Sus scrofa: one gene and its partner. The protein of the gene in region 1 interacts with the protein of each later gene in a pairwise test. Links are inferred from orthologs where the notes say so. Each region holds a gene or a part of one and is shown in the gene's direction. Other genes may lie near its edges.

Region 1 (2,892 bases):
GGCCCGCCCAGCCTCGCCCTCATCCGTTGCTCACCTTCAGGCCTCACAGATGTGACCCTGGGCTCTTGCTGGAGAGCTGTGCCCCCAGCTGACCTCTCCATGTCTCGGCAGTGCCAGGCGGTCATTGAGAGTTCCTACCAGGTGGCCAAGGCGCTGGCGGACGACGTGGAGCTGTACTGCTTCCAGTTCTTGCCCTTTGGCAAAGGCCTCATCAAGAAGTGCCGCACCAGCCCCGACGCCTTCGTGCAGATCGCCCTGCAGCTGGCCTACTTCCGGGTAGGAGCCGGCCGCTGAGCAGTGGGGTGGCCCCAGAGCCGCCTGGGAGATTCACCCCTCTGTGTTCCCCAGGACAGGGGCAAGTTCTGCCTGACCTATGAAGCCTCGATGACTCGAATGTTCCGGGAGGGACGGACAGAGACCGTGCGGTCCTGCACCCGCGAGTCCACAGCCTTCGTTCAGGCCATGGTGGAGGGGCGCCGCGTGGTGAGCGCCCCCCGGCCTTGTGGTGAGGGCACCCCTCGGCCTTTTGCTGGCGTGGGGGTCAGGGCTGCTCTTCACTGCTCCATTTCTGCCCCCAGAAAGCAGACCTGCAAGATCTGTTCCGGAAAGCTGCCCAGAAGCACCAGAATATGTACCGCCTGGCCATGACCGGGGCTGGGATCGACAGGCACCTCTTCTGCCTTTACGTGGTCTCCAAGTACCTGGGGGTCAGCTCCCCTTTCCTGGCTGAGGTCAGTGTCGATGGGCGTGTCCTCACGCCGGCTCCCCGCGGGTCTCCGCCTGTTCCCGCACTTGCCCTGGACGGCTGGGCCCAGCCTTCCCGCTGCACACCCCACCCAGGCCTGCGGACCTGGCATGAAGCAGGAGCCTCCCCCCATGGACTTGGTGTCCTCGTGAGAGCAGCTGGACAGACAGACGTGTCAGGTGGCGACAGTGCTCGTGAGAGAGGTGCAGAGGCTAAAGGGAATCCGTGTTCGGCACCTCCAGGACCTGGACACTGACACTGAAGCAGGGGTGTGGGTGTTTGAGGAACAGCAGGAAGGGAGGGGGCTGGCAGGCCACGTGATTGAGGGCTTTGTGCCGATGCCGCAGAGACAGTGAGAACAGACCTTGGGGACCAGGGGCAGCAGTCGGGGAGGTCCTGCATTCCATCCCTTCCATATCCGCAGCCAGGACGGTGCCTGGCTCACACAGGTGCTCGGGCCTCACCTGTCCGCAGGTGTGGGCAGAGCGCATGGCATCTGACTGCTGGGGCCTCCCTGTTGCAGGTGCTCTCAGAACCCTGGCGCCTCTCCACCAGCCAGATTGCCCAATTCCAGATCCGCATGTTTGACCCAAACAAGTACCCCAATCACCTGGGTGCCGGCGGCGGCTTTGGCCCTGTAAGTGCCCTGGACAGCAGACAAGCGGGCAGGGCCAGGGGCCGGAGGGTTCAGTAGAGAGCGCAGGGCCTCAAGCTTAGACCAGAGGCAGGAGCACAACTGGACCTGCCCTGCATGGAAACACACGGTCCTGTTGACCCCAGCATGAAAGGCAGCTGGAACCCCACCTCTGCTGGAGCGGCCTTGCCTAGGACCTTGTGCTCCCTCTCAAGTGGGCTGGTTTGTCAGGGAGCCAGAGACCCTGGAGAGAGGCAGTGATCCTGCACACCCCGAGGGAACTCGAGGTCGTGGCTCCGGGGGCGGGGGGTTGGTCTGCAGCCTGGGGCGGAGCTGTTCCATTTCGGCACCGTTTCCTGGGGGAGGCCCCTTCCTGTGAATCCTGCGGGCGGAGCAGGGATGACAGCAGCTTGGCCGTCAGATCCGCAAGGGCTGGTTTACCTCTTTTCTTCACCGCTCGTGCTGCCCCCAGGTGGCCGATGACGGCTACGGGGTCTCCTACATGATCGCGGGCGAGAACACCATCTTCTTCCACGTCTCCAGCAAGTTCTCAAGCTCAGAGACGGTGAGTCTCCCCTGCTCCCCCAGGGTCCTGTCTGGCTGGGGAAGAGCGCTTGCTTGTGGGGACAGAGGGGCAAGGCTCGCCTGGAGTTGCTCTGAGCTCTTGACTTGCGCAGAACGCCCAGCGCTTCGGGAACCACATCCGCCAGGCTCTGCTGGACCTCGCCGATCTCTTCCAAGTTCCCAAAGCTGACAGCTGAGGGCTGGAGAAACACCAGATGCCCTTTTGGCCCCGCATCGTGGAGGAAGGGGCCTGTGGTCAGCTCGCAGGCACAGGGGTGGCCGTGCGCAGGTGCCCAGGCTCCAAGGACACCTCTGGTAGCAGCTGCTGCCTGGGCAGGGCTGCTCCCAAGGGCTCAGTGGTGGAAGTCGGGCTGCAGCAGGGAGGGAATCTTGATTTTTTTTTTTTCTTGCTAGATGCTAATAAAAATAAGTTTGTATAATTCTATTTTAGCCCTTAAGTACGTGTGTTTTGTTTGGGAACTAGGAGGGCCTCCCCCTGCTCCAGCTCAGGCCAGGAAAGTGGCAAGGGCAGGGCTGTGGCTGGGAGACTATTTGCGGAGGCTTCTGGCCTGCTTGGAAAGGTGGGTCTCTGCTGTCCACACCCACATGTGCATTTGGAATCAGTTCTTACTTCGGAACCTTCACCTGCTCCCTGGGGCCACTTCTGTGTGTCTGCTGGAGGGGGGTGCCCAGCTGCCTCTGTGCCTGCGCATGCCCTCTGCACCCCCCACCCTGGCTGGAGCACAGCTCCGAGGAAGCCCTCAGCATCGGGAGAATCTGCAGTCCCAGGCCTGAGGTCTGGGTGCCAGGTGGTTGTGTCTGTGAGAAGGTGCACAGGATAATCTGGAGCAACAGACATGCCTTCCCTTGGGTCAGCTTTTTAACTAATATTAAAAGTAAACGAAAAAAGTGGGAGTTCCCGTCATGGCGCAGTGGTTAACGAATCCGA
Region 2 (3,521 bases), on another chromosome or scaffold:
AGGCTAGAGAGGGGAGGACGCCCAGCCTCCCCGTGGGGGAAAGAGTGTGTAATCAGATTCAGTGGGCACAGCTCAGCCACTGCTTTACCCTGGTTTGTAGCCACCGCCCGCGGTGTAAGTACCCCACAAAGACTGATGCTAAGCGATTTATTCCTTCCGGGGCTCAGCTCCCCCATGTATAAAATGAGCATAATGATGAATCCTCACCTGCCTAGAGACAACAGGGTAGTTGGAAGGATTCGATGTTTAGCTCCTTCTCCTGCCCGTGAGCAGCAGTCACTAATGTTAGCTGGTGACTGAGGGGCAGCTCAGACGCAACACACTGGCACCTCCACGCCAACCACCTTCTTACTGAAGAGCCACAAGCACAAGGAGGGCTGCCTGGGTCTATACTTCTTCAAAGAACACTCAGGGGTTTCCAGATCTTTGGTGATTCTCTACGCTCCCAGCCTAGTGGAGCAGGGAGAAGATGGAGATTGTTTAGCCTGGTGTCATAGGGTTACCGCCTGTCCTAGTTCATTCGGGTGTCTGGTGAGGCCCCTGCCTCCTGGTTCACAGACAACAATCTTCTCACTGCATTTCTCTCTTTCTTCTTTCCTTTTCCTTCCTTCCTTCCTTCCTTCCTTCCTTTTTCTTTCTTTCTTTCTTTCTTTCTTTCTTTCTTTCTTTCTTTCGTGTGTGTGTCTTTTTAGGGCATATACCTGCGGCATATGGAAGTTCCCAGGCTTGGGGTCGAATCAGAGCTGTAGCCGCAGGAACACCAGATCTGAGCCGCATCCGCGACCTACAGCTCACGGCTATGCTGGATCCTTAACCCATTGCACAAGGCCAGGGATCAAACTTGCATCCTCATGGATGCTGGTCAGATTCGTTAACCACTGAGCCTTGACGGGAACTCCCTCATTGCATTTCTCATGGAGGAGGTGGCCAGAAACCTCAGTGTGGTCCCTTCTAGAAGCGCACAAATCCCATTCCTGAGGGCTCCACCCTCATGACCTAATCAAGTCCCCAAATCCCCAGCTCCAAACACTATTACATTGGGAATTAGCTTTCAACATTTTTTTTTTTGGTCTTTTTTTGGGGCCACACCAGTGGCATATGGAAGTTCCCAGGCTAGGGGTTGAATTGGAGCTGCGGCTGCCACGGCTGGCACACAACAGCCACAGCCACACCAGTTCCGAGCCGTGTCTGTGGCAACGCCGTATCCTTAGCCCACTGAGCTAAGTGGGATCGAACCCTGGTCCTCATGGATACCCATCAGTTTCCTTGCTAGAGAGCCACCATGGGAACTCCTCCACATATAAATTTGGGGGTGAGACACGAACCTTCCGTCTCTAGCTCCTCATGACCAAAGACAGTCAGGGTTAGGAGCAGCCCAGGCCCTCATCCTTCACGTGTTCTGACTCACCATTGCTGTGAAACTGACTCTCTGCAGAAAGACGGGCCAACTCAGTCACCAGTGTGGACAGAGAGGTATTGTGAGTGTGTTATAATGAACACCTGCATCCGTCTTCTTTCATCAGCTCACAGCCATGATGTTTCCTTACCGTCACCTGCCCCTGGGTACACACACCCTCCATGCTTTCCCCAGACGTCTGCCTTTCTCTCCTTAAACACCTGCAAACTTGGCTACGAAAAGTCCCATAGACTCAGCCCACAAGGGCAGCTGCTCCGGAGGCTCAGGACCCTTGCTCTGCAGGTGCCTGTGACATCATCAGCTTCAACAGCCCCCTGTGACCTCACCACCTGGACGACTCCGCCCAGCAGGGCCGTGGCCACTCCTTCAATTGGCACAAGTGACAGAGGGCCTAGATGACCTCTGTGCCTTTGGGAGAGGCCAGAGCCGCCAGCATCCCCACACATGGTGAGAGCAGGGCAGCAGACATCCCAGCAGTGGGGTCCCGAAGTCAGGTCCCCCTCCTTGCAGATGTCCCAGTGTCAGCTGACCAGCGGGATGTAGACCAGGCCTCTGTCCAGCCAGCCACCTTGGAGGCCGTGTCAGAGTCTGGGGACAAGGACAAGCATGAAGCTGCCGCAGGATCTGCCCAGGAGCCCACGGAGGTCCTGCTTGCTTACTTGGCCCCAGATGTGCTGCAAACATCCAGGGGCCTCCAGAACCTGCTGCAGGACGGGCCGCTGCAAGATGCAAGGATGACCCAGAGTCCTAAGAGTCTCCAACACACCTCCCCGACTGAGGAGGAGGAGGAGACACCGCAAACAGCGGGCATCTCAGACATGGAGCCGGAACCAGCCTCATCTCTCCCAAGTGTTCAGGTGCAGCCCTCCCAAAATGCGGAGGCGCCGCCTGTCGTGAGCGCTGCAGACGCCAATGGCCAGCTTGATACTCTGGCCACTGGCTCCACTGAAGCTGTTGAGGAGAAACCTGAGGGTCCAGAGGCCTTGGACCCTGACACAGACACCGCACCATCGGCCCCCGCCTTGCCTGGCTGCCGACAGGTGGCCCTGGGGAGGAGGCGCCTGGACTTCATGGCCAGAGAGGACAACAGCTACATGCGCTCCGTGACCAGCTTGCTGGGCGGGGGCGAGGGGCCCATCAGCTCCCTGGCAGACATCCTGGTGTGGTCTGAGACCACCATGGGCATGACCAGGGGCATCCTGGCCTCTGGCCACGGCTCCGTGACAGACCTGCTGCGCAGCACGGGGCCCCGCCTGCACCCCGCCTCCAGCATCCTGGGGAGCCCCAGCCCCGCCTTCTCCTCCGGGCTGGTGGTGGGGACCAGCTCGGCCCTGCGCTCCATCACCCACATGCTGGAACTGGCGGAGCGCAGGACCATGGAGGGCATCCGCTTGGCCGTGCGCTACCTGACCAGCCACCTCACCTCTCGCCAGGCCCACACGGGCCCCAACCTCAACTAGATCTGTACTCAGCAGCCTCCTGAGACCCCTGGGACACTCATGCTCTGTCCTCTTGCCCATGTGCAGCCTGGGAGCTCTCCCCAGACCGGGCAATAAATCACCAGCAAACGTTTATTTTCCAAGTGCCAGCCTCATCCCTTGTCTGTGCAGTGGGCACATGGGAGAAGGACAGGAGGGGGCTGGGGTGTTCTGGAAACAGATTGTGTCCCCTGAGGGCTTCTTGGGTTGCCCCATTCAGGGGCTGGAGGCCAAAGTGCAGAGAGAGAAGAGCCCGGGGCAGGCCTGGGAGACCAGGCGTAGGGGGCGCAGACCTGCAGAAACTGATCCTGGCTGGACCTCCAATCAGGTAAGTGCATTTCTGCGCAGGAAGCAAGTCCCAGCCCTTCTCCCTGGCCTGCCGGCTTCGCAGGCTCAGGCCGCCCTGCTAGGCTCTCTGAGAGTGGGGTTGAGAGCACGGGGCCAGACCAACTGGACTCAAACTCCAGCACCACTCCTGGCTATAGGCCAATCCCTGCACCCTCTGAACCTCCAACTCTCATCAGTAGAACAGATAACAAACCCACTCCATGAAGACGTTAGCAGAAGGAAGGGAAACAACCCAGGTCCCAACACATGATGTCAGGCACTTAAGAAACTCACACATT

What was found.
Region 2: the proteins of CPT1B (region 1) and TEX44 interact in binary tests that used the Homo sapiens proteins (3 or more experiments, as listed by UniProt). The two-hybrid records come from large-scale screens. The link is inferred for Sus scrofa from reciprocal best matches to the Homo sapiens genes CPT1B and TEX44.

What each region holds. Positions count from the first base shown.
Region 1 is NC_010447.5:161,149-164,040, forward strand, and holds the end of CPT1B (carnitine O-palmitoyltransferase 1, muscle isoform), read left to right. Parts: intron 1-111; coding exon 112-276; intron 277-348; coding exon 349-483; intron 484-578; coding exon 579-731; intron 732-1,268; coding exon 1,269-1,382; intron 1,383-1,851; coding exon 1,852-1,944; intron 1,945-2,056; coding exon 2,057-2,140; 3' UTR 2,141-2,388; downstream 2,389-2,892. UniProt on the Homo sapiens protein: Catalyzes the transfer of the acyl group of long-chain fatty acid-CoA conjugates onto carnitine, an essential step for the mitochondrial uptake of long-chain fatty acids and their subsequent beta-oxidation in the mitochondrion.
Region 2 is NC_010457.5:132,264,624-132,268,144, forward strand, and holds TEX44 (testis-expressed protein 44), read left to right. Parts: upstream 1-1,525; 5' UTR 1,526-1,812; coding exon 1,813-2,877; 3' UTR 2,878-2,989; downstream 2,990-3,521.